Linked DNA regions of Lytechinus pictus. The protein of the gene in region 4 purifies or fractionates together with the protein of the main gene of each other region. This does not show direct contact. Links are inferred from orthologs where the notes say so. Each region holds a gene or a part of one and is shown on either strand. Other genes may lie near its edges.

Evidence for each region.
Region 1: the proteins of RNA-binding protein with serine-rich domain 1-like (region 4) and putative RNA-binding protein Luc7-like 2 purify together in Homo sapiens (affinity purification with mass spectrometry; 3 studies listed by BioGRID and IntAct, counting the BioPlex papers as one, with this or other methods). This does not show direct contact. The link is inferred for Lytechinus pictus from reciprocal best matches to the Homo sapiens genes RNPS1 and LUC7L.
Region 2: the proteins of RNA-binding protein with serine-rich domain 1-like (region 4) and NF-kappa-B inhibitor-like protein 1 purify together in Homo sapiens (co-immunoprecipitation; 3 studies listed by BioGRID and IntAct, with this or other methods). This does not show direct contact. The link is inferred for Lytechinus pictus from reciprocal best matches to the Homo sapiens genes RNPS1 and NFKBIL1.
Region 3: the proteins of RNA-binding protein with serine-rich domain 1-like (region 4) and regulator of nonsense transcripts 2-like purify together in Homo sapiens (co-immunoprecipitation; 5 studies listed by BioGRID and IntAct, with this or other methods). This does not show direct contact. The link is inferred for Lytechinus pictus from reciprocal best matches to the Homo sapiens genes RNPS1 and UPF2.

Annotation. Positions count from the first base shown.
Region 1 is NC_087254.1:29,257,599-29,264,685, reverse strand, and holds the start of putative RNA-binding protein Luc7-like 2, read right to left. Parts: upstream 3,024-7,087; 5' UTR 2,878-3,023; coding exon 2,817-2,877; intron 1-2,816. UniProt on the Homo sapiens protein: May bind to RNA via its Arg/Ser-rich domain.
Region 2 is NC_087259.1:27,514,656-27,521,794, reverse strand, and holds the start of NF-kappa-B inhibitor-like protein 1, read right to left. Parts: upstream 3,010-7,139; 5' UTR 2,822-3,009; coding exon 2,542-2,821; intron 1-2,541. UniProt on the Homo sapiens protein: Involved in the regulation of innate immune response. Acts as negative regulator of Toll-like receptor and interferon-regulatory factor (IRF) signaling pathways.
Region 3 is NC_087247.1:9,488,346-9,495,612, forward strand, and holds the start of regulator of nonsense transcripts 2-like, read right to left. Parts: upstream 3,018-7,267; 5' UTR 2,634-3,017; intron 1-2,633. Other genes in the region: protein MCM10 homolog, read left to right, coding at 3,727-3,958, 5,517-5,711, 6,782-6,964. UniProt on the Homo sapiens protein: Involved in nonsense-mediated decay (NMD) of mRNAs containing premature stop codons by associating with the nuclear exon junction complex (EJC).
Region 4 is NC_087254.1:22,810,667-22,817,614, reverse strand, and holds the start of RNA-binding protein with serine-rich domain 1-like, read right to left. Parts: upstream 3,020-6,948; 5' UTR 2,935-3,019; coding exon 2,933-2,934; intron 1-2,932. Other genes in the region: WW domain-binding protein 11-like, read left to right, coding at 5,586-5,649, 6,506-6,537. UniProt on the Homo sapiens protein: Part of pre- and post-splicing multiprotein mRNP complexes. Auxiliary component of the splicing-dependent multiprotein exon junction complex (EJC) deposited at splice junction on mRNAs.

The DNA.
Region 1 (7,087 bases), about 6.4 Mb from region 4:
TTGGGATGGACTTGTCCTTTAACAATAATAACACCCCAAAACACTTTAAAACATGTCCAGACAAAAAAATATCCATAAATTTTGAGATAAACAATTTATTTCTCAATTATATCAATTTCTGGTTAAATACTTTTATTTCTGACTTATATACTACATAGTCGTCCAAAGTAATGTATTCATTTCTGAATGTTACTGGGGTTGCCACGCAGTCAAGCTTAGCTTATAGTGGCAACCCCTGCAACCTTCTAAAAACCGATATGTTTTAATAGAAAATGCAATTTTGTTCAATGTTCTGCTTGTCAGTTATATGTATATTATTATTGCATTTTCTTTGTTAATGTGTTTATGAAAAAGTGTTGCAGAAACCAATATATGAAATGAAATATTTCTGAGATACTACATTTATTTAGGAGAGTTCTTTATTTTTGAGATTGTTAATTTTGGCCCTTTTGGCTGCCCATAAGTGCAGTGGTCACGGCCGGTAGAACATGTACATGTAATCTACACGTGGCGTGTGTGTGTGCATGCATAAATACAAAACAAGTCATGTGCAATCATCGGGTGTGAAGCCAAAGGAGACAAAGGGGGTATTATTTAGCCCCCTCTTCAAATTTATATTTTTTGATAGCAAATGGGTTACATCAGGGATGGAAGGGGTATATCTCTTTTCAAATACTGCAGCCTTTGAACAAAAAAGCTTACAGTTCCACAGCTTGTAATACACAATAAACACAACCACATTTCATATCTTTTGCTCTCCCCTCATAAGCCTGGATCTCCCCACTTCATACAGCAATTCAGCCACTCTCGTGAATCATATGACACATGCGCACACAGCATATCCACACATCATTCAGCATTGCTGGAGTCATAGAGATACATGTACAGTGCAACTTGCAAATTTATGAGTGTTGGGAGTAGCAGCCAAAAACATAATCTCATGAATAAATTAGCATATACTCCCCCCCCCTCCCCATTTCTCTGCCAAAGATCATGATATGGCAACAAAAATTTACAAGATGGTAGAAAAATGACATTAACTACTTGATTGTTGAGCTAAACTTCACTGAATATATATATTTACATGTATATACTTCATTTTATATGAACTAATTACCCCGGGGAGGGGGGGGCACTCAGTATATAATGCATAGTGGGTATGTGCCGCGGAGGGGACCCCATTTTTACACTCAGGCCAGGGCATAGCATTTTCATCTTATTGAGAAAAAGAACTAAGAAAGCCGCTCCGAAGCATAGCATTTTTTTCTTATCGAGAGAAAAGAAGAAATCCGCTCTGGCAAAGCTTCGCATATTTTTCGTTACGCCGTTCCGGTCACATTGATCCGCCACAACGAGCTGCAATTTTGGTGAAAAGCGGCCGCAGAGCCCTGTCCGACCATCGCCTCTGCGCGAGTGCACCTGGCGCCCGTGCCGCTGGGCTAGCAGCATACACGTATGCCCGTTCCATAGGGATGCACACGCAGGCGACCGTTCCAAGGACCCCCGTTTTCACAAACATTTGATTGTACATGTAGTTCCGAAGCCTGTTCCGAGGACCCTCCTTTTTACAATAAGTCTGCTCCAAGGCCCCCGGTTTTTGTCTCGCCCGCGGCACATACCTACCACTTTTTTGGTCGAGTACCCCCCCCCCCTGGGCTAATTACATGCTAATTTATTCATAAAATCATAAATTCTGTTTTAATTCATTAATTACAGCTTGTAGAGTGCTAATTTTTGCTGTACATATGCTTCATGGCATTTCTAACAACTTTTCTTAAAAAACAATGGATACCAAAGACGTTTTCTTACATATTTTTTCGCTTTTGAAAATTAACTCTTTGTGCGCTGGACCATGAACCCATCTGTACTGAATTATTTTCAGGGAGGGAAACAATGCATTGTTTGCTGAGTGTGAAATGCGAAGTTCGCACGGCACCGAATGTGCATTGGTGCAAAGTACGCGTGGAAAGGGTTAAATCACGTATTTCTGCATTTTGGGGGCTGACATGGACTACGAAATGTTGCGTAATTTTAAAACCGCATACCCGAGCATTGTAAATTTGGACTCAAAAGTCGCGCAAGACTTGGGGGAAAATATTCTTGGAATGACATGGAGCAATTTTCAAACATGAATTGTTTATCGCAAAAAATTTTGAGGCATCACACTATGCGGCTTGCAGCAGAATGCGTTTTAAAAATTTGATCTTTAATTACCCATAACTCCTTAACGAATGGTCGAATTTTCTTAATTTTTTTGTTGCTGCATTTCTAATGCAAAGAACTTTCATTTGATGTATCAATATCATTCGCCAATAAAATAGGCAATATTTATTATAATCTTAATTTTTGGGTAATATAGTATAATCATGCAGAACCGCAATGCCAATGCCATGGCCAATGCGTTGGTATACCCAATGCGTTAACGTTATGCCTCAATGCCGCCCTCATTGCCTGGGATCGAAAAGGGGGCAAGCATGCTAATTGCTATTGCTAGCTTATAGCTATGCACACTTGACAGTCCGCGCAGCTAGCTTGCTTGCCCCCTTTTAGATCCCATAACAAATTGCGGTTCTTATGACCTGTTTTGAGCTGCGCCTGCTACAGTGCTACTGCTAGCGCTTGGCCCAACACACCTGACGTGCCGCGGGCAGTCTTCTCACCCCGATATCGGCCTGCCCGGTGCTTGTGTACCACTTCCACCAGTGACAGTGTAGACGCGTCGAGCTTGCGAGCGCGAGCAGCAGCTAACGTTACTCGTTACGTTAGCAGTCCACTCGGGCAGTTCGAGTTCGACTTTACTAGGTTTGAGATCTTACCATTTCGGGACGTTCCCATCAGCTCATCGAGCATTTTCCGCATCTGTTCTTGGGCCGACATGTTGACGACCACAAATACTCCACAAAATATTTATCAACTGTGTTTTTTTAATTCTTATTAAACAGAATTTCGTATTTCTTCGGAAAATAAATCTTTCACGAATTATCAATCCAACTCCAAGCTCTCCATTAAAATACCGCATGAACGCGCGCGCACGATCGTTTATTTTTATTGCGCTACGAATCCTTGTGTCAGATCCATATCCGTCTCCTTCGAAACATAGGTCCATGTTCGAAAGCACGGGGGGGGGGGAGGGGGTCGATCTTGACAGGCCCCGAGCTCGACAGGAAATTCATGAATAGGCCTTGGTCTAATAGGGCCTGTTTCATGAATTATTCCTCCCTAAATAATTAATTTGTATAAAAACCTAGCTAACGCGTAATCGAATTAAAATAAGCTACGGGTTTATTCCGCAACAACACTGCGGCCGCGCCCCGGCCGGCCTATATGTTCCTATATGTTTTAGGCCCATATTGCAATTCAGTTGAAACCCGGGTTATGATATTTAGGCCTACTAGCTTATCCTAATTTGAGCACTTTGGGAGCCCAGTTGGAAAGTGAGGACTCTTCTTTTTTTTTTTTTTTTTTGCTTTTCAAAATACCGCGGACGAAATGACCTCCGATTTTAGGTGAAAACCTTTTTCTTTGCTTGTCAAATTTTCATCGGAAAATCGGCCCCTTTTGGAAAATCATGGATCCGCCCCTGAATTTGACAAGATAATCAATATAACATACTATTAGCAAATCAAAGTGACTGGTTGCACAAGCATATCACTGAAAAAAATAATCATCATTAATTGTTACCATTGTTTATTAACTATTTGCACACTTAATTAATAATCTTGGGGGATATAATTATATATTATGTTATTTTCTTTAATTCAAGATTTCCATATTGCACCATTGATACTTATACGGGAGGGGGATTACGATTGCTGAATTTTAGGGGCGGAAATCTTTCCCAAAAGGTAGGGGGGACAAGGGGCAGGAAAATTTGTTTGACAAGCAAAAAAAAAAAAGGCCTTATCATCCCAAAAGTAAGGTCATCTCGTCCTAAAATACATGGTTTATTTCGATTTTGAATGATGTATTTCTTACCATCATAGACCACAAATAGTAGGGGGGCATTTGATATTGTGTCCCCCCTACTATTTTGAGTAGGGGGGACACGTCCCCCCTGGGATTTCCGCCCATGCTGAATTTAATTGTATACGAATGTGCAATATTGCAGCATCAGCGCGCAAAGGCTAATATTAATGGTTCAATCAAGTTGCCATGGGTCCTTATATTGTCAAATCTGTAAAAATTAGAATACTGTATAATAATTTCAAACAATAAAACAAGAAGTAGACGATGCTGGACTTCATCGACTTTCTCATTTGCAAGTCACTGTGTTGTGCATAATAGGCCTAATTGTTTTGTGGAACAATAAACGAAATTTGAAAATGTCACAGGTAACTTTTTAATTTTTCATCCGATTTTGATGAAATTTTCAGCGTTCTTCTTATTGGATTTTTCTGTATTGATTCAAATAAACAATATATGGGGTGGACTTGTCCTTTAATCGAATAATATCTGTAATTAAACTTGAGTACTAAAGTTGGGCGTTGAGAAATAAGGGAACTGATTATGTCGTCAGATACTTTCTTGTATTTGATTGAATTTTATGTTTCGGTTTAATAAATTAAGTATAAATATTTAGGTTCCATTATGAGGAGTAATTATAAATGGATAAAAATTGATGCATTGATTCATGTATAACGATCAAAACATTCAAACATCACCAGTGTGCACAATTTTTTATTAATCTAAAAAAGACTCAAAAATAAAAAGTGAAACGATACCACTAATAGGGGCTCATGCACCTGCACCGGCAGACGTACCTTTCCCGATTTTTGCCTAATTATCATTCCGTTTAAGCTTTTTTCTCTCCCTCTCTCTCTCTCTCTGTCTCTCCCTGCTATGATTTCCCTCTATCTTCTTCGCTTACTTTCCTTCTCCACTGTGTCCACTTTTGTTTCTATCCAACTAATTCTTTCTCTTCTTGCTTGCATGATCTCTTCCATCTATCTCTTAGTTAACTCTCAGCCGTTTCTCACTCTTTGTCTTTAATGGGTAAATTATTTGACATCTCCCTACTATGTTGTATTGCAATATAATTTGCCCAATGTATACGTCGTTTGTGTTTGTTATATATACTTTATATCATTTTGTATGTACAGCCAGTGGAGGCCAAATTTCTATGTATTTTATCATGGATCAACAATAAATGAATCTGAATCTGATCATATAGCTAAATGATTCGATAGGCCTATACATGGGCCACTGGCGGATCCAGGGGGGGGGGGGCAAAGCTGGCCCGTGCCCCCCCCCCCCCCCTGAGAGGCACAATTAAAATTTGTAATGTAAAAATACCGTTAAAACAGGAGTGTACGTGCCCCCCCCCCTTTGAAAGTGAAGACCCTTTTTTTTTGTCAAACATTTTCGTGGACGAAATGTCCTAAATTTCGGTTAAAAACCTTTTTTTTTTTTTGGCTTGTCAAATCTTTCTTCGGGGAAAATGGGCCCCCTTTTGGAAAATCCTGGACCCTCCTCTGCGTGCTACAGTCTAATTCTTAGAACCGCTATAAAAAAATGTTGATTTAGCTCCTTTTGGGATAAAAATCCTTGATTCATATTACGCCGATTGATCTCGCTGTCAAGAATAATAATGCAATATTCAGGCATTATTGTTATGATTACGGTCCCCATGCACTTTCACTTTACTTACATAATTACATTAGATCTATCCTAGTTCTCGATTCCGGTAGTTTCAGCAGTTACTATATTCTTGAACCAATACATTTTTTTTTCATTCTTGGTGGACAAATTAAGTTTTAAGAAATGAATACTCTTTATATAACAAAGGAATGGCACCATTAGCTTGCCGTATTCATGCATATATGCATTAACCGTTTTATTTACACCCAAATAAGAATAGGCCTACAATTTCATATTTTTCCCGATCGATGTGATGAAATGTCCAGTGTTTGTTTTTTGTTTTTGTCTGATTTTCCTTATCTGTTCAAATCATGATTCAGCCTGGAGTACAATGCCTATATGAGATTTATCGACGGTCTATATTCCGGGATCTTACCCGTATAGCCAGGAAAAATAGAAACCAAACTCTCGGTAGCAAAAATATGGTGTAGTTTTTGGCTCACATTTTGTATTGGGAAGTGCCTTGATGACATTCTTCAACCATTATCCTATATTCTCCTTAGTTTTTCGGTTGCTTGGTTGTAGACAACTATTACATACCCCCGCGCTTTCCTCCTTTCCGCGACGATATAAAACGTCGATAGAATAGCGCAAGGTTTGTTCACCGTCAGCAAGCGCGCGCTGATGAATGAACGTGTTAGCTACGTGAAAGGGCGATTTGAGAAGATTGTCAAGACTAGTGTTTCATTATATGACAAAAACAACTCAAAAAATTACATTTAGAACTTTGTTACCTTTATAATTATATAAGATATGTAATTTAATAATTATTTGTGTGACAATAAACATATTTGGAAAAATTATAATTTAAGTTCATTGATCAAAGTTGTTAAATAGGCAACATACGATCCTAAAAAAACTGAAGACATCGATAAACGTTATTTTGTCAATTTTGTCAATTTTACCAATTTAGCTTCCATTCGCTACATAGTGATTCATACTTCACTGCGCCGAATTAATTAACCCACGTCTAAAATTAATCTCTGTGAAATAACTTCAAAGAGAGTATAAAATCATTGTTCAATATTTCCTTTTACGAGGAAGATGGTGATAGACCTAATAGATATATGTAATAACAATAATCACGATAATTTTAATAACAGTAGATCTAATCTTTTTTATGATGATGATGCAGGGGCCGCGGAAGAGGGGGGGGGGGGGGGCTTCAGCCTCCCCACTTTTTTCCAAAACCATGTTCAAAAACGTAAAAATGACCATATGATTGTGATTTTTTGCATGATCAGCCCCCCCCCCCTTTGAAAACCGTTCCGCGGCTCCTGTGATGATGATAATGATGATGCATGATGAGGGTGATGATGATGATAATAGACTTACTTGTCATTTTCTATTATCGTTTTGTTTTTAAATTCATAACTGCTGATTTAATTTTGTCACTATTACATCAGCTCCATATGGTGAACAATTTTGCTGGTGATCTTGTTTTTTCTGT
Region 2 (7,139 bases), on a different chromosome or scaffold from region 4:
CATCCACAAATCAGATGTATCCCCTTGCAATCCCATGTATAAACCGTCTAGCTGGGTAAGGATATTAGGAATTTCCCCCTCTTAGAATGCTTAGTCCCACTTGATGGTGTTAGATGTATGTTACCAGCCACATGCGCTATGATGGGGCAACATGAAGGAGCGTTTCCCGCCAAGAATAGTCATGCTCCTTTCGGGAGATTGAGAAGTGATACAGAACAACCCATGACGAGAAAGACCTGTTTTATACACTCTCAAATGATTAATAATAATACATGATATTTAAAAGGCGCTTTATAGACCCCTGTTAGACCCCAAAATGTAACCCCTAAACTTACAAATACGCCCACAAAATAACATACAAACAATTTACCCACAAAGTAATGTAAGAATTAGTGCTTTGGAAGCGCACGGAGACGTTATATCAACATGATCAAAATGTGATATGCGCAATGCAAAAACTGTTCATCAATGTTATAATTATTTTCGCATCTAATGTTTCTTCAATTACAAACGCTGCACAAATTACATTTGATTCAAGTCAAACTTGGATTGTCATCTATAAAAACCAATATAAAAACGCCGATTAAAAATTAACAACAATTAAATTCGCTTATGACAGTTGGTTCATGTATGTAAATGATTTGTTTAACTTTTGCATTATAGTCTTAAGAAGATTGCTAAATTTTCATTTCCTGTCAGGGTTTTTGGTTCAATTAACTGTTATGAATAATATTAGTCTGTTTATTTTCTTGTTTCAAATTTATTAAGTATCATAATTATTATCATATTAAATGTAACACAAAATCATACATTCATACAGACCATTTTACCCGATATTGGGTAAATTTTTCCGCGTTACATTTGTTTGATTTTTCTATATTGATTCAAATCAACATTTTTTCTGGGGTGAACTTGACCTTTAAACGAAATCAGTCAATTGCAGAAGTACCTGTCTCCAAATCAAAGACAACAACAACAAACTTTCTAGATTTATATTTTTTCTTCTCTCTCTCTCATCTCGCTAGGTGAATCATAATTCAATAGGGCATAACATTGACTTAATATTGTTGTCGCATTATGAAGCGTATGTCGTATAGAGTCTGTGTAAAATCCAAGTAAACAGAAGGTGATAAAGGTAAAGTGTTAACGGTCAAGTCCACCCAGAAAAATGTTGATTTGAATCGAAAGATAAAAATCAAACAAGGATATTGCTGAAAATGTCATCAAAATCGGATGAAAAATAAGAATTTCATCAAAATCGGATGTAAAATAAGAAAGTTTTGATAACTTTCTTATTTTTCATCCGATTTTGATGAAATTTTCAGCGTTATATTTGTTTGACTTTTCTCTATTGATTCAAATCAAAATTTCTCCGGGGGTGAACTTGACCTTTAAACGAAATCTGTCAAGAAATAAGAACGTTATGGCTGTTTGAGCAGGGAGTTGGGAGAGATCCCCAAGACTATTATGTACTATCTAAAAAAAAAGGTTTACCCAATATTGGGTAAAATGCTGGTTGGGTAAAAAGATACCAAATATTTTGTAAATTTTACGCAATGTTGCATTGAAATAGCCCGATGTGGGGTAGAAAAATACCAGCAAACATGCATGTTCCCTTTTTACCCAAAATTGGGTAAAATATTACTCGGTGTTTTTACAATGTAATTTTTTAACTTGGCATATATAGTAAATCATTAGAAGTTGTAGGGACAACTTTCCATATACCTTCACTTAATATCAGGGATTTTTGGTTTCCTCTAAGTATCTATTCCCTTGGGGCAGTAATCAAAATACAATACAGGTAGCATATTGTTTTATGTTTTCATGAATGTAAAATATAATTTGAAGTCAAACTTTTAAAAATAAATTTGTCATCTTATTATTGAATTAGAAAGAGTAGTGATTGCCTTAATTACATCACTATGACATCACCAATTTGGCCAATTTGAAATTCCGTAGATTGAAAGTCAATCTGATAGAGTGTGGTCAGGGACTAATCTAAAATTGGATCAAGTTTCAATCGAATAAGATTGAATTCTAAATGTATTAGATTAAAAACTTTAATAAAAATTCGGATTTGTTCCTGATCACAATCTACTTCCATCTAAGAAATTTAGAGTATACCAATTTGCACAACTATAAAAGAAATCTTTTTAATCGTTTGTCTGATATAGTTCAAACTTTTGCCTATCTTCTTGTCTGATTTTTCTTTTTCCTCTAAAAAAACCTTTTAATTTGGTCCCCAGTTAAGTTGGACCTCTGAAAAGTCATGCTAGGCAAAGTGACAATAAGTTCACTTAGGAGCAACCGCGATTAAGAAAAATGTAATTTTCTTGTCTACTACTCTTTCTTTTTAATAAACACTTCTAAAATTACATAAATGTTATAATATAAACCAAGAATTACCAAAATATCTAAATAAGTAATAACTTTGCTGGTTACGAAAATAGGTCTCAAGTTTGCGATGTATAGGCTATAGATCTAATTCCCCGCTAAATAGAGGTCACTAATTCCAACAAACCATCCAATGTTGAAACTCACCATATTCATCACCATGCAGAACACGACTTAGAGCCAGATGAAGTGGGGTATCCCCCTTGGAGTCCTGAATTTCTGAGCTTGCCCCGAGTCTCATCAGCAGCCGGACAATCTTCTCGTGCCCGGCAGCGCAGGCAATGTGAAGCGGCGTCCGATGGAGCTGATCCCGGTGTCGAATTTGATTTAGATCAAGAAGGGCATGTTTCTTTAGGTATGATTTCACTTTTAAAACTTCCCCTTCCCTGATGTAGTCCAGAAGTTTCTCCTCTGTAGATTTCCCCATGGCTAGCTTAAGCCAAAGCGGCTCGAAAAAAGAACAAATGTATTCAACAGCAAGCAATAACAGATTTGCCTTCACTGAGAGCAGACGACCTATTGCCAAATTTACAATTACCTCGCAATTTAAATTTGTGACTAATCTCTAAAATCCTTTCGCGCGTGTGCAGCCGTGGACATAACGCGACATACAGTGCGTGCATCTCGCTGAAGATGAGCAATGCACTGGGTATCTTTTTAACTAAGAGGGCGGACATTAATATTTCATTTTCATAATACAGTCCGACCTCTCTTATCCGGCCTCCCCTTATCCGGATCTCTCTATTATCCGGACGCACACTTGCCGAGATTTTTTTTCAATTCAATTTTATTAGTACGTGAGGAAATGAGATTGCAATCTAAACTCAATCCTATACGCAAACTCACTTTGATTAAATATATTTTCCAGTGTAGTCTACCTAAAACAACATTATTTTTCATGAAAATATCTCACCCAAATCACCAAAAGAATTTAGGCAGGATAATTTTCCAGTAAATCGGGGTGCAGTGTAAACATTTCATCACGTTCTCTTGTTGTTTCCCCGGGAAAAACAACACATGTTCGCTAGCTAATGCTCGGCCTCAATATTAATACGGACAGCTCAGCGCCATCTATCATGTTTGAGCCTACAGTCAGTATAACAATGGCTGACATTGCGAAGCTGCGATAGCGGCCGCGATGATCTAATTGTAAAACTTACTTTCATCGAGTCATTCATTCTCTCTCTTTCGAGGTATGCTCGATTTATACCTCAATCATTTTAGCAGGTAAATTATCCAACAGTTTTGGCCATCGTTCGATTTCATTTCCGTAAAAATTACCGCCTATAATTTGCACTGACACTGCAGTGAATACATGTCTGTACCGTACGCCCGGCCCACAACAATAGATAACGTGTAGCTAGCTACCGCCGCGTTGCGGGGATCGAGGCCGCAGCTTGCGTGTATTTAATATTGGGTCTCCCAGATCCGGATAAATCCCTTATCCGGATTGGTGCTGGTCCCAATGTGTCCGGATAAGAGAGGTCGGACTGTACATGTATAATTTTCAACAAAATACAAATAAAATAATCATATTGCCATTAGTACTCCTCATACACATCTTCGGGGTTTGATTGAACAAGTAAATAGTGTAGGCCTACCCAAGATGGCGAATACAGGAGCCGCGGAACGGTTTTCAAAGTGGGGGGCTGACCATGCTAAAAATCACAATCATATGGTCATTTTTACGTTTTTGTACACGGTTTTGGAAAATAGTGGGGGGGGGGGGCCTGGAATAGTATGCTGTGCAAAGCCTTCACTCGAGTTGAAGGGTCTGAATACACAGCCTACAATGACACGTAACATCAAGTTTTGTCTTTTGTGAAGATCCACTTGTTGATCAAAGTTTCAATCAGGGTCTGTGCTGCAGACTAGGTGAAGTCAGTTACTAATGATACTATTATGAAATGCTTATGATGTTAAAAAGCGAATATTATTTTTTACTTCCATCACATTTATCATTTGCAACGGTTTGCTAATACAAAATATTCAGAAAATGTGTCATTATATTCTTTGCAGGAAAGAGTTCTTGAACTTCTCTATAGGGTATGGGCATGCAGGGCTTAGAATGCTTATTATTTATATTTCTGGAAATTGAATAAGGTACGGAGTGTATTCAAGGCGTTTAAATCCAAGAAAGGGTTAGGTGGGGGAATACACATCGAACAAAGACAAAATACGGACCGATGTTCACAAGGACTATAGGCTTACGAAATTAATTTCAACTTTGTTAAGGAATTGGAGCCGACTTCGTGTAAACTCGCCCACTACATCATAGACCCCTAAGTTCGAGCGTCCTTTTTAGGGGCGGATACATCCCCCCTTTGAGGACAATTTCGTTTGCTTGTTAGAAAAGTTGTGGCCCCCTTTTCTTGTAAAATTGTACCCCTGGGAGGCTTCACTTTTTTCAAAAACCGTGTACAAAAACATAAAATCGACCATATGATTGTGATTTTTTGCATGGTCAGCCCCCCCACTTTGAAAACCGTTCCGCGGCCCCTGTAGTTTAAAAATGCCAAGTAGCACAATTCATATTTTTGCTCGGTCGCTGCGCTCCCTCACGTGGAAGTAACTGACATTCATGTTTGGGAGGTTGACTCACTGCTCACTAGTTCTACCAAGATAGAAAATTCACCTAATTGAAAGACGACTACAAAGTAACATTTTGATTTGCATATTGTAATTTTATTATTTGGCGTTTCAACAATATACATTGAAAGGTAAAAAAGATTTTGATTGTTGACCATACAAGTCCAAGGCGACTGAAAAGTGAAAGAAATATTCTAAAACTATTGTTGCCCATTTGCTTTCTACCATGGCCTAGATATTGAAAAATACAAGTCCAAGATTCGTAGCATGATTTTAAGTCTTCAAAACAGATTTCTTTTTTTCGTAGCCTAGCGAAGCCAGAAATCTGTTTCAAGCCTTTAAATATTGCATGCTGTCACTGAGAAGCCGTTCTTAATCCCATTGCTGAGGAATTGTCTCATTAAAAAATTACAAATAATTTTTTCATATAGAGCTTGAATTCTCGACGCATTGTGTTATCAAAATGCACTCCTTATGATATCGAGATTGAAATTCTCAAGCTCAGGGTGTGGGATAAAAAGAGAGAACGACTGGCCTCGCGTACATTGTGTAGGCGGTTGATGTCTTATTGGCGTCGATTCGGCAGACTGACAACCATATGATAAGGGCTTACTCTGTTTTGGGGGCTTTGAATCAGACTAACAATCTGAATTTGACTAAACCTGCGGCAAGAGTACTGGTGCCATGAGCCTAATTACATCAGGACGGCTAAAGATATTCATTCGACCCAACCCATTCGAATTTTTTAAATTTGATAGTGCTGATTGACAAAAGTGTATGAATATGATTCAAAATCTAACACTGATTCTAGAAATGGTAACTACTGAAATTCCTTTGCCCAAATTGGGAAGATATATCAATGATTTGGAACAATTTTTTGACTGGCGGAAGAATTGGGGCTATTTTACTGTTTCAGTTGATGAATTTGATCCCATCATAGTTAACTTCATAAATGACGATTTATTTTTAAAATGAGCTGGCTACGATACCCTTCTCTGGTCAGATATGGAATGTCAGATATATATCCTATCCAAAATTAGTAAACATTCGACCCTCTAATTTCACATTTATTTTTTATGAATTTTTCTTAAGTGTCATTTTAACACACAAGTCTATGGGGAATGTTTTACGCGCGTGAGACCTATATGTAATACAGGCGAGTTCCCTATAGTGGATGGAATACCTGCCCAAACTCCTCAGTAGCAAACAATTTCTAACTGATATCAATATGTTTAGTCATCAAGTGGTGCAAAAAATGGATTTAATGGCTTAGCAAGGCTATATATCAGGTAAAGTTAGTAGGTATGTGTATGTAAGCCTAGGAATGCATATAGACTGGTCAATGAGAGTCTATAGGCCTCTTTATGTTTTGATTCATCATTGGTTTGTGCTAGTGTATGATCACCTACTTAATGTTAGAAAGACCTTTACAAATTGCTCATGTTAAAATTGTTCTTTGGAATGGGGTAGAGAGGAAATAGAACTTTGTGAACTTTACTGAAGAGAACTAGAGTGGTACCTTCAAGAAGGTATTTAGAAAAAGGCACAGAGTAAGGTAAGGTATCTAATAGTGCTCAACTAAGGAGGGAGGGGGGGGGGGGGTGGCTGACGGTGTGCTCCAATCTTAGTCTAGTCCCCCCTCTTTATAAGCCATGCTATCTATCAAATTATCTTTCTTTCTTTTTTTCTCTCTCTGTCTCTTTTTCTATCTATTTATGTATCTCTTCCTTCTTACATCTGATAGGCAATAGCCCTAGGAAGATTTTGATATAATAGGTCAAGTCCAAATGTACTAAAGTAATATGTTCTCATTCTTTTATTGTTTCCTCGTTCAATCTCATGTATATCTGGTAATTATGTTTGGGGCAGTTCTGGTATTCTGATATCTACACAAAATTTACATACACCTTTATATTACAAGGAGAATAGGGGCCTATATATATTGTCATTGCATTCACTCATTGGGCTATATGCAGGTAGGATAGGTAGACATCCATATAGTGAATATAACATGTATGAGTAACACATTAAAATGGGTCATTGCATAGAAAATAGGCATTTTCAATGCATTTCTTTGTGCTAGTGTGAGTTTACAGATATAAAAGAATAGCAAAGTAGCTATTTAAAAAAATAAAATTCATAGGTCATATAATATA
Region 3 (7,267 bases), on a different chromosome or scaffold from region 4:
AAAAGTATATCCTGCCTTCCAAGAATCAACCAGTAATTCATGGCCAATATCGATTACAATTTTATAAGACGATTAAAAACTCATCCCATCAAGGTGTCATCCATAAAATGAGAGTTGTTTTGTTTACTTTCTAGGACTGTCTTCATATCAAGTTTGATAACAAGTCTGTAGGCTGTGGGGTGATAAATCTGACAAAAGAGATGGTGAGCTAGGGGTACAGATCTATTTATCTCAATCTACATCACAGGCATGAGCCTTTAGCTTAACCTAAGCTACACAAGGAAGTTACAACTTGATGCAGAGTTACAACTTGATGCAGAGGTCCAAGGTTCTACAAAGAAGAGGTATAATGCATTTAGAACACTTCTTTCTGCCATTGATTGCTCTTGGTCGAGTGGTAAAAGGCGTCAAGTAAGAACTCTTAAAGCTGTACTGTCAGACTGGTAAGGGTTCGAATCTCACCCTGTTTGATGATTAATTGTATCAATTTTTTCAGTTGTAAATAGAAATAGCATTTATTCTGTTGAAAATAGACTTGACAACTGTAAATTTTGGCAAAAAACAAGAAAATTGACTAAATATTCATTTGGTCTAGCTGATTAAATGGCAGCTGGGCATAGAGCCATACAATGTACAGTAGGCCCTAATCACTCCTAGTACCAATGAGGTCAATACATAACAGTATTGACCTCATAGGTGACAATAGTGCATATACAAATTGGTGCATGCAACCACAGTAAACACACTGATGACGACAAGGCTTGTAGCGGGGTGAGCTGTCTAGTGATTTTATTATTTTTTTCTTTTCTAAATTTAATTATGAACTTTTGAGTGAAATTAGTTATTGCATATTGCAGAGTAGATATCACAAATTTATCTAAGGTAAAAATTTTGAATAAATATCTGTGGAGTTTGGGTATGTGCCGCGGAGGGGACCCCCATTTTTACACTCAAATTTCCGTTCCAAGGCATAGCATTTTTATCTTAGTGAGAAAAAGAACAAAGAAAGCCGCTCCAAAGCAAAACATTTTCTTCTTATCGAGAAAAAAAGAATAGAGAAATCCGTTCCAAAGCTTCGCATAATTTTCGTTACGCCGTTCCGGCCGCATTGATCTGCTACAATGAGCTGCAATTTTGGTGAAAAGCAGCCGCAGAGCGCTTTCCGACCATCGCCTCTGCGAGAGCGCACCCGGTGGCTGGGCAAGCTGCATGCGCGTATGCCCGTTCCATAGAGATGCATACGCACTCACACGCAGGCGACCCGTTCCAAGGACCCCCGTTTTCACAAACATTTGTTGCTCCGAAGCCCGTTCCGAGGACCCTCCTTTTTACAATAAGCCCGCTCCAAGGCCCCCGTTTTTTGTTTCGACCGCGGCACATACTTACCACTTTTTTGGTCGAGTACCCCCACCCCCCCCCCCCCCCCCCGGATGGTTTTGGGAAGCGCATTCCACGCAGTCACTGTCCTGGGAAAATAGGACCAGTGTGTGTGTGTGTGTGTATTTGAGTTTTGTCAGACGTGTATCAATCAGATATGATTATTTACGTCTGGGACCGACCTTTAACGTCACCATCCGAAAGACGTGACCAGGGCTCGAACCTCGAACCTCTGCATCAATTTGTAACTTCCCCACAGCTTGGATTACAGGCGCACGCCACAACGCCCAGTGCTGTATTACCAGTGGTAGATTTATGGTGGCTGGGCCCCTTTGCAAAATATTTGTGAAACAAAGGAATTGCAGAAATCTAACAAGCTTAAAAGCCTTAAAAAAAAAAGACTTAAGTTATGGTAACGATTTCAAAATGAGTTCGTACAGAATCCAATGAAACGACCACCAAAGTGTCTGTTTGTATAAATAAAACATATGTGCCAAAGCCAAGGATTCTGGAAGAAATTGTATAATTGCTGAGAAATTAGCAAATAAGCTTGGGATTCGGGTCAAGCGTCGGGCCGACATTCAAAGCAATAATAATACACTGTCCCACGTGCACTTATTATCTGTGTTGGTGATCTTCAGTGTGAACATTTTTCAGCGTAGATTTCAAGATTTCACAAAGTTCAGTTAATGTAACTGTACCAGATCTAGGTCCTCGATGATAAAGTGACAATTAAGCCTGGTTTTACTGACTTTTTCGTGAAATCAGTGTTTACTGCAACTACTTTCATTTATCTTTAAAAAAATTTAGCTAATTTTTAGGCTAATAATAAAGTTTTTAAAAAGTCATGAATATTTTTTCAAAATGCAAACTTCCTAACAACATTACTCATTAGACCCTAACCTGTAAACCATGGCATGGGCAGCTTAATCATGCAGATCTATAGTCTTGCAGCAATCAGCAAGTTATCTCTGACCATAATGGATGAAAATGGAATAGAAAACATTTACAAAACATTTCACAACAAACGCAATGTCAATGAGACAGAGAAGGCAATCACATCCAACCACACAAAAATTGATATACACGGGACTACACTGGCAAATAAACATTTAAACTTTACTCTATCAGAGTATTTCCATTATTTACAACAATCTCTAAATATAAGTCAGTCGGAATTGGATTGGTATTAAAGTTATTTTGGGGTACCTTCAATAATATAAATTAGTTATAAGGAGTCAAATTTCAGATCTTACGAGTATTGTTGAGGCGGAATCAGCGATCAATCCAAAGGTCAAAAGGCTTTTCCACACATCCGGTCGGCCGGCTGGATCGGCGCGCGCAAAACAAAACTGTGTTGTTTCTGTTGTTTGATGATTGAAATTTACCGCGACTGGAATCCCTACTGACAATTTCTTGCTGTATCAAATTCAAAGAGTCAAAGTCATTTCTCAAATTATTATCGCAGACTACCACATGCAGATGTACTCCCATGAGCGGAGGAGGAAGTAATAACAAGACTTAAGTTGAAGTTCAGTTGAACTTGTCTCAGACTCAGGCCAGGGCGCGAGGGACAACGCGAGCTCCCTCCTCTCGATCGCGCCGCGCCTGTCGGGCCCGGTCCGGTCCTACATTAGTACATACATGTACACCTGACATGGTCCTGGGTCGTCATTTCACCCCGGGTACAAACTGATCAAGCTCAACGAATCATTGGCCGCACCGCAGTACTATAAAGCAAGGTAGATCTACTAATACATAACTATGACTTTTATCATTAAGTTGATCCTAGGAAATTGTTATCAACTTAAAGTTAAATAATTTAATCAAGCAATTAAATTTAAGCCAACGTTGGCAACAAATCTCACTCAGCAAAATTTAGTTAAGATTTGAATTTAACTTTTAAGAATGTTCGTTGGACGTTACTTAACAATAACATGCTTAACGTTACTTAACAGGCTTAACGTTAGATCTAAGCAATATTATTTAGACTTAGGCTAGACTTAGAGAACAAAATTGAAGAAAATTGCAACTAGCTAGTCTATCAGCTATCAATCATGCCATGGAAATTTGAATTCATATATTTTTTTGTAGATCTTTAACAGTTAGGCCTAGATCTAATAGTAATACAAATTAAGACAAAAAAAGGAGGCTTTAAAGTTTTAAAGTGTCCAGACACCTCACCCCCACCCCCATTCTACTAAACTAGTCGTTTTGATCTTTATCACTACGTAAACTTAAAGACATTACGACTTGAGACTATTTCAATTTGCATGCCGATGGAAGACAGTACAATTGCCATTGCAAGATAACACATTTTTTAAAACTCAATCACATGTTTTGATAGCAATGGCAGGTGAGGATTATGGAGACGACCTTGATGCTCTCACTTCACTCCTTGATGACGAAGATGATGCGGATCCATATGATAGCGGTGATCCTTTCTCAGTAAAGAGCGAACACTCGCAGCAAGTGTCACAAGCAGTCAAGAAGCAAGGTACCAGTCATGAAAGGAAAAAAAGATCCGTTGGATCCAGTCAGAGCAGTGGGGATGATGAAAAGTCAAAAGAAGAGTTGATAGGTAGGCCTGCTTGTTCTTTTTTTATTAATGTTTAAGCATTCTAAGAGATTATAATTATAATAATATATAAATAATATAGGATTTGTGTAGTGCACGTATCCACCTTGCTAGGTGCTCAAGGCGCTCCTATATTCCCCGGACAATCTAGTCTACCGATTCTGGTGCGCACAGCTTTGTGAGGAATTACTTCCTGCCGGCACCCATTTACCTCACCTGGGTCGAGTGCAGCACAGTGTGGATAAATTTCTTGCTGAAAGAAAACACGCCATGGCTGGGATTCGAACTCACTGTTTGAAAGGCGAGAGTCAGAACCACTAGACCACGACGCGCCCACTTATGAGGGGAGTATTAAAAAGCTCTCCTAAAACTTTTAAGGGGAGCACTGCAAAAAGCTCTTCTTTGACATACAAATGGAGCTGTTTTGTCCGATTACAAAATGGATGGAGGAATGAACACTAAATTGCAACCAACAACCAAAGGAGATAGAAAAAATCAGATGCCCTTATATGCTTTTCACACTGCATTTCCTTAATCCCATACTATCCTTAACCCCATACTATCTTTTTTTCGATTCACACTGTCTTTCTTAACCCCATACTATCTGCTTAGCCGGGGCTAATGCCTTAACCCGGACTATCCCTCAGCTCATGAATATTGATGATTTTACCATACAGAGCGTGATTAACGTGCAATTCGACTTCTGTGATTGGCTAATGCTTAGCCCCACTTTCCTTAGCCCTGTTTTGTTTTCACACTGCATCTCTTAGCACCGCAATTGTGGTGCTAGCACCACAATAAGCCGGCTAATCCTGCTTTTTTGCAGGGCCAGATAGTACCATACTATTTACCGTGCTAGCCCACTTTGCTAAAACGTAGTGTGAAAACGAAGTGGGCTAAGCTTAACCCCAGGAAATTGGTGGGGCTAAGACCCCCCCTTAGCCCCACCAATTTCCCAGGGTCAAGGAAAAAAGTGCAGTGTGAAAAGCATATTAATATATATACAATATTTATCTCATTTCAAGTGTGTGTTATTGCTTAAATATACTTGTGTAATTGTGTCTTATTTGTAAAACCTTGACTGAGAATAAGGTTGGCACTAACAGTTCAATCATTGACTGACACTCGTTCTACATTCAGGTTAAGTGATGTCAGAATAGAGATTATACATGGAAGTAAAATGTTGTATACATAATACAAAGTGTACATGTGTGATTTTGCTTGATTTCTAGTTTTACTGCATTTATAATTTTATGTCACAAAAATACATTTCGCTTAGGCGAGCGATAAATCGCGCTACCTGAAATGGATGGAGGCGAGTGGTAGCGAGTGATCACTCTCGCTCCCCTTAAAACTGAGTCCCTGCATTCTGTGAGGGAAAATCTGTATTTTTATATGCATGATTGTTTATTTTTTTTTTAAATAGTATTTCTGACTTTCTGTAGAGTTGGTATTTGAAACTTTGCTGATACATGTTGCTGAAACTTTCCACTCTCTCTGTCTCTCTCCTTTAACATCATGGCATGGTATAATTCTTTGCGCCTGTTGATTTACTCTACAGAGGAACTGCAAAGGTTGCGAGAGCAGATGGTTCAGATGAACGGAGGTACCCCCACTTCATCACAGAGTAGCTGTCCAACCAAGCCTTGTCCTAAAAAAGAAACCTTTTCAAATGCACTCTTTGCTGACCGAACACCAAAGCGAAAGCAAAAGAAAGATTCTTCGATTCCAGCCAAGAAGGAATCTCACAATATAAGTAAGTCTCATGTAGCAGTGCCTCAGTTTTTTCTGCAGTCATTTCAGTTTCCACTTAATTAATGAGTTCAGGTTGCAAACTTTATTAAGTGCAGTAAAATACTTAGAAGTGTGGATTAGGTGTGTTATGTAGTCTACAGAACTGCAAGTTTAACCCTTGGTAGTTTACCAGCCACCAGCACATTGGTTTATCATACTTTGTCCATGAAAATTTCTTTTGGGCCCACTTCAGAAAGAGCTTAATTATAGTAATTTTGCCTTAATAGTAACTACCATGGAAAACTTGATTTTGATTGGTTGATGATCTCTTTTTCTATCTTTGCCATTCTTAAATTGTTTTCTGCCTATGAAAACAAATTGTACAGTGCGTCTCGCAAAAAAGGAAACCTGTTTTCAGAGATAGATTTCACAATTATTAAACATGTTTTTAGTTTACTATGAATTTGATACTTATGTTAAGAGTGGAATCTCATCTTTAATGTAAGACCCACAGCTTGGCACATCATTCATGCATGTTAGATTACAAACAATAAATATTGAGGCCTATCAGAAACGATTTGTGCAGAAACTCACGAGTTAATCTGAATCCACTCTTATTTCAGGGATCAGTCAGAGAAACTGAACAAAGAATACAAAAGAAATGCTAATTAGCCAATCGTTGAATAAGCACCGTGTCGTATCATGAACCAATCTTGTCCAAACTTTCTGCGCAACTTGATTTTGGCATTAAAATTTCAAACTCGTCTTGCTCATTACTGCATGGAGTGTTTGTCACATAGTAGGTATTAATATGTAGCGGAATAATTGAATTGTATGATGATGTAAATGAAATATCATAATTAATTTGCCTTTGAAGAAAAAAGATGTTGGAAACCCGGTTTCCTTTTTTCTGGGACGCACTGTATACTGGTAATTGCAATTTGTTTAAAAGGACTTTCAAACGAACTGTTCCAGATTAACAATCTGCTTTTCTATAGTGGAACTTGATGGAGAATAAATGATTTAGTGAACAGTTGTATATCAGATGCTCATATAATTATCTTCATCAATATTTCTTCTTCTTTTTTGTAGATTATGAAGATTTTGATAACGAAGACGGACTGTCAGACTTGTTTGATGATGAGATGGAGGTTGAAGATGAAGAGAAGAAAGATGTCCGCAAAGTGACGCCACAAAAGGCCGAGTCCCTCTTCAAGAAGACCAATAAACGTCATGCTCACACCCCTCAGACTGCAACAGCTCCTCCTAAGAAAGGTTTGTATTTCATTAACCAACCTTGTATCCAAACTTAGTCTAGTCTGTTATTTTCTTAACTAAAACTCAGAAAAGTTAAAGTTAATAGCATATCTCTTGTATGATATTCAAATATGTCAAAAGTTCAGCAGCTTTTCATGATTAGTTTATAACCAGAAGTATGCATGTCACAGTTCTTCAGATGCCTTATTATATACTGGCTAATACTGCTAAAGTGTCTCAAATTTTTTTTTTTTAATGAAGTCTCATCAGTATTCAGTTTATCTTATACCTTATCACTTTTATGTATAATATTGACAATGA
Region 4 (6,948 bases):
TTATACCCCTTCCCATTGAATATGCCTGATTAAAAAATATGTTTCTACTGAAAATAAAATAATACAAACTAAAGGATATAAAATGCCATTCCCAGAAGGTAAGTGAAAATTATTTGCTTGGCTTTTAATTATATTCCAGTCAGAATAGACTGTTGCCACAGCTGTTAACAAATATTCGTAATGGCTTCTTAATTTTCCCCTTTTTCCCATGTTTATATTAATTTTGTTTTATTCATTTTTCTTTCACTTTCTTTTTTTTTTTCTCTCTAATTTTTTCTTTTCTTTTTTTCCCTGTTCTTTGTTTTTTCTTTCTTTTGTTTTATTTCACTTATTTCTTTTCTTTTCTTTTTCTTTTTGTAATATACTTTTTGAAAATTATTTTCATTTGTTTCCCCCTTTTATGCATTGTTCTAATTTTGCAGAATATTTTTCTGTGATTTTCTCCTGCTATAATATACTGCAAAAGGGAAAACAGAAATAAAATGGATTTGGGGCCTGCATAATTTAGGTTTTAGGATTCAAAGAGGAAGAAATGAAAAACCATAGTTTTGTACATCTATCTGTGTTTGCTATGCACTATTTATTTACTTTACCATTATGAGTGTGTGTGTCTATACAGAGATTTAAAAAAAGTCCACACAACCTGGGAACAATAAAATTCATTTATTCTCTTTCAATCATTTCATTTTTACAATGATAGAAACAATTTATATTTTACCACAAGCCAATTAGCAAAGTAAAATAACAGCAAACAAGGTTTACATACAAGATGATAAAGTGGAAGTAACTTAGTGGTAGTGGCTGCAGAATTAATATTTCAGAAGTTTGTTTTATCAATTTTTAATGTGTTTCTTTATATTTTTCGGGCCACCAAACTTTAATATCGGGCCACCAAAAAAAAATTATTTGATGGTTTTGGTGGCCCGAACGGGCCACCACCAAAAAAAGTTAATGTGGAGCCTTGGTATAGGTATGTTACAAAAGTGAATGAAGCATTGAGTGTGCTGCCTATAATTGCAGGGTGACTGTGGGGGCATTGCTTTGTATTGTGTTTGCATGTGCAAGGAAAGTTATTCCCCATAACATCATTGTTTTTACGTAGTTGAATGTTTATGGCAGCTGTCTAGACTTGAAAAAATATCACTCGGTGATCTTGCGACCCTGTGTGCTACTGGAAATTTGGCCTTGCTTTCAACCTCTTGCTATTTATATTTACAGGTATCATCCCACTCTAAAAGGTATTTATTCCGATAGAACAACATTTCAACTCCATTGCGGTGAAATTTGAAAGAGATCTACTGACGCTAAGTGTGTTTTTTATGTCCCTGTTTCGGCGGCGTCTGTAATTTTGGGGAGTGTTGTTGGGCACTTCCATATGCCAATGTATGTTGTTTTCTAGTATTAGTGCACCTTGGTCCCCAATTAAGGTCACAACTTTTGTTTTAAAAAACAAAGGAATACATAAGAATTGAAGGGGCGATTTGTACGAACTTAAAACTACCATAACTTTCTTGTTACTACTGGGGCCATTAAAATGAATGAGGTATTAAATTAGGCACTTCAGGTGAAAATTAGGAAAGGCTGTTCCAGCATGTTTGATATGCTCACAATGAGGCTCAATATCTACGATTCACAAAACTGTTTGAATTTTCAAATTCGGATGTCTAAAAGTCAAACCGATCGCGATCGCATGCGATGATTTGAAATCAGCCGTGAATAATACGTGTGAGGAGAAAGATACTGGCCCAAAATCACAAATTTTGAGGATAACCGGAGGATGGACACGGAGTGAAATACGGGTGTAGAGTAAGATATTAAGTCAATCATCTTTTTCGTTATATTTTTTTTGTTTAATTTTTATGATTATCATGATTGCCATCCCACCTTCATCAGTAGAGGCGCACGGCCAATATGGGAGACTCTCTCCAATAGGGGAGACAATCTCCCACATTGGAGCCTTGCTTTGCAAAAGGACAAAAGAAACAACACCAACAAAAGCATGATTTTTTTCCACCCAAAATTTTGTCTCACTGAGATCAGAAGCCCATTTGTTTTGTGTGTGATTGACAACAAAAATCCTTATCAAAACAAAAGTAGACGGTGAATTTTTAAAGTAGACGGTGAAAAGGGGTAATTTTTCATGAGGAATCTGCTTATCACATTTTCATTTGCCGCCAAGGTAATCCTTTTGCAGCAAATGTAAACAAAGGAAATTGGACTCCAAAACTGGAGACTGTCTCTGAAATTGGATACCCAAATTCTTTACAAAAGTCTCTGATATTGGAGATAATCTCCCACATTGGAGACAGTCTCCAATATTGGCCGTGCGCCTCTACTGTTCATGACCTTTGTGACTCGGTATATCCGAAATGGTTCACGGTCCCGATGTTCGGGTAGGTGGAGCGTAGTGTAGCGGTAGTGAAGTGGAGCCTGCACGAACATCGCCTGAGGTAGGATGTGACATGTGGCAGCCAAAGCCAAGGCTAATTTTAAAACTAAAAAGTAAAACTAAAATTTTTACTCAAAAGTCAAAAAGAAAAGGCAAGCTACTCTAGGTTAGGCCTAAAGCAAAAGGCTAAACACAAATACCCAGGATTTAGGATTACCTGCGAGGGTCCTTGTTTATGAGGACAGTTTTTACATGTACAACCATTACAATAAGATTTCATTTCAGGGTAGATCTACTCAAGAAAACCGTAATTAGAAACCGAGTTTCATTTCGTACAGTCCCACTCATTGACAATAAAGTCATTAAAATGACTTCGATCGTCAATGGATTCGCATAATTGACACGATGATCATCACGCTAATATATTGATTATATACAAAAATTTAACAATGCATGTTAAGATAACATATCGAGCATACTCATAAATTTTCAAATTACGACGAGAATATTAAGATGTGTTCGAAATAAAGCGATTGTTCTTACATCTTGACTGGGACCGAAGGACGCAGCAAACGCTACTTTCTTTGGCCAGAACGAGCGCCCTCTAGCAGCAGTATAATTATAGGACCCCTTTTTTTTTCATCATCGATGCGATTTGGAGGTAGTCTACAATTGTAGACCCACATCTGCAGTGTGTGTATCACAGCTGATTCAAGGAGTCTGCATAGCAGACTAGGTCTACTAGAGCCTGCAGATCTGAAATGGCTCGCTTCGCTCGCCCTTTCAGGCTGGTTTGCTTCGCAAACCAGCTGCAGATCCCACTTCACGAGCCATTCAGAGTCTGCATAGCAGACTAATTTGGAGGGGCGCGGCGGCTAAATCACTGAACTAAAAATACGTATCTCTAGTTCAGTGGGCTAAATGCTATAGTCTGCTGTGCAAACCCTTCACTCGAGTAAAGGGTCTGAATTGCAGCCTACCTACTCATGCCTTGTGTATATACTGAAGGCCCTCTCGCGCTCAACAGCAAGTTTTATATGTGCTAGTCTTTGCGTAGAGACACACTGAAAGTTTCAATCAGGGTCTGTGCTAGACAGCTGGCAGCCGTCTGTTTCGAGGAGGTTTTTTACATTTTTAATTTTTTTAATTTCTCCTCGTACACATTTGGTGAGTGAAGCCAACTAAAACGGAGTTCAGCTGAACAACCAACATAACGGAGACCGAAGCTTTTGGTCTAGGTCTAGTCTGTGCCTGCAGACTAGCTATAGGTCGCGGAAGGCAGAACGGCTGTGAAAGGGGGGGGGGTGGGGGGGGGACCATGCAAAAATAACAATGCGACGGTAATTTTTATGTTTTTGTACACGGTTTTGGAAAAAAAAGTGGGGGCTAAAGCCAACCCAGCCCCCTCCTCCCTCGTTTCGCGGCCCCCGGTCTGTCCAGATTTATCGGATTGATTTTCTCTTGACTACACCGAGATGACTCCATTTCAGTAAAAAAAAAATGCGGGAAAAAGTAATAAGTTGCATACAGGGAAATAGGCCTGAGAACATATAAGCCTGTATGTAAATACATCATTGATTACGGTTTCAACAAAGAACAGAGGAAAACCTCTCACTAATAGTGATGAATAACAACAACAATTAACAAGAACAAACTAATATTAGATAATGATGATAACAATAAAAATGGTGATGAAAATCCCGGGATGAAAATAATAATAATAAAGATGATGATGGTGAAAGTAATATTAATAATAATAACAATAATGATAATAGTAGGCCTAATTCTTAATAAATCTTAGGCCGACTTTATAGATTCAGTGACAAATAAATTTCAAGGTATATAAAGATAGAACGTAACGCAAAAAGTAGTATGACAAATCAATTCTTCGATCTTCTTCTTCTTTTTCTTCTTCTTAATTCTTCTTCCTTTCTTCTTCTTCTTCTTTATGTATTTATCTATGTTTATCTGTTATTTTGTGAGAGTGGACATAGAGTTCTGTGATTGTCTTAATTGTCGCATCACAAATTAAGCCATGTGTTAATTGTGCAACAAAATTTTGAACATGGAGCATTCCATTAGAAGCTTTTCAGGGTCCTTTGCTGGGGTGCTGAAGTAAATTTGACGAGCAAAAAAAAAAGTTTCATTACAAAATGAAGGTCGTTTTGGTCCCTAGAAAAAAGTCATTTTCCTTACATTTCCAAATTCGCTACATCTTCCAGAATTCAGCTAGGAGGTGCTGAACTTTAGCATCCCCGCTTCGCAGGGCCATCATGGGCGGAAATCCCAGGGGGGACAGGGGGACGCGTCCTCCCTACCCAAAATAGTATGGGGACACAATATTTGATTTGATTTGATTTATTTTATTTCCACATTTCAAAACAAAAACAAAAAATATACAAGTATAATATTTTTTTTTCAATATTACATAATAGGCAAATATTTTTTTAAACATAATGAATAATGCACATAAATCATTATAAAATATCAACTGGACTGTGAAATTATATCTATATATATACATTTTCTTTAATTACTGAACATATATATATAGAAATGTGGGAGACCTCCATCTTAAGCTTGGAGCTTGAAAGTGATGGAGGCCTCGAAATATCAAAATGTTGATCCCCCTACTTTTTTTGTATGATGGAAAGAAATACATAATTCAAAATTGAAATAAAACATGTATTTTGGACGAGATGACCTTACTTTTTGGGTGATAACCTTCTTTTCTTTTTTTTTTTTTTTGCTTGTAAAATTTATTTTGGTCGAAGTGACCTTACATTTGGGGTGATAAACTTTTTTTAATTTTTTTTTGCTTAATTGTCAAATTTTCCAGCCCCTGGTCCCCTATACCTTCCGGGAGAGATTTCCGCCCTTGAGGGCCATGAAAAACTTGTTGCCTAATTTGGTCGGTCTAGACTCCTTCAAATGAATCTGAAAACATATTTAAAATCACAGAAATTTTAAATTCTTGGAAATGTTGGAATATATTATCATTATATATTTATATCCGAGTAATTCCCAGTAATTCCTCCTCGATCTGTAGGATTGCTTTTTGTGGGGGTAAATCGCGGGGAGATCATCATCGGTGTTCGCGCCCTCATCGATAGAGATACAATAATTGTACATTTGCTTTAACCGTGCCCGTGGATTTTGTGATCGTGAGGAGAATTCCTATTAAAATTCTGCCAAAATGGGGAGACGATCGATCAATACCACGAAAAGTGGGAAGTATATGAATCCTACTGATCAAGCAAGTAAGTAAATTTTGTGTAAATCATGCTGAAGAAATGAGAATGCGTGAGTGCTTCGGGATGGATTGGGACAATCTATTTTTATTAAGGCCTGGTCCCACACGCAGATAAATATGCATTGTTATGCCTGGCGGTATCAATGATAGAACCAATGCCATTTGCCATTGGCAATGCCAATCGAAATCGAGATGCTAATGCAAATGGCAATGCCAGTGGTGCTAATGCAGTTTTGCACCGGCCGACTTCGAGCTAATTCCCCACCAGCATGACCAGAATTGTTTGCAAATATGATGATTGATGGCAAGTCTCTCACTCTCAGAGTCAGACTCGGTCACATCCGATTCCGAAGACGAAGTCAATAAAAATATGTCCACCGCTTGTCCAGCTTGTGACCTTGTCCTGAGTCTGAGATATCGCGATCGGGAAAGGCTGTATTTCGGCTCCAATCTCGACGTTATCTTTTTTTTTTTAGTAGGTCTACTTGGCTTTGCCGTAATTTTGACATGGATTGAAGTTAGTGACCAAAAGATTTGTCTGCGGCAGCACACCTGTTTATTTGCCGCATGTTTGCATGATTTTGGTCGCTAACTTCAGTTTAAATAAAAATTATGGCGAAGCAATGTCTGACTGAGAATTTGCACAATGATGATGAGATTGAAGCTGAAATACAGCTTCAAAACCTAATTTTGGCTTTAACCTCTCATGAATTTAGGGCATGTTCTGTAATTCTTGGGACATGGAGCTGGCTTGGATTGGATGGATTTCTGTTAAATCTTGATGTTAGCATTAGCCCTTTAAAATAAAGACTTTAGAGGACAATTAAACATTTATTTTACAATTGTATATTTTATTTTCACAGGGAAGGAAGCAAGAAAGAGGGAATTAAAGAAGGCAAGTACTTTAATAACCTTGTAGTTTAGTAAATATGGGGTCTCATGGTTTCCTCCCCTTGCCTCCTTCTTGACTGGATAAATTATATTGATATAAAACTAAAACAAGTCGTTTTGATCACTTACACCTCAGTGTGTCTCTGACTACACATTGTCACATACTGTGTAAGTGATTACAAAGTCTTTCATTTTGTTCTGACTTCTGTACATGTTCATGTATGGGACAAGTGTTTCCATGAATTAATAATAAATCATTCAAATTTAAATATTTCATGTTGTAAAGCATATCAGATTTCAAATATAAATTAGAAGAGACTGACTCATGGCATGAATTGATATGTTCTTAGAGCTACTGATAATATTCCATAGAAACCTGTGAAGTTCACCCTCACTGTGTCAAAACTTTAAACCT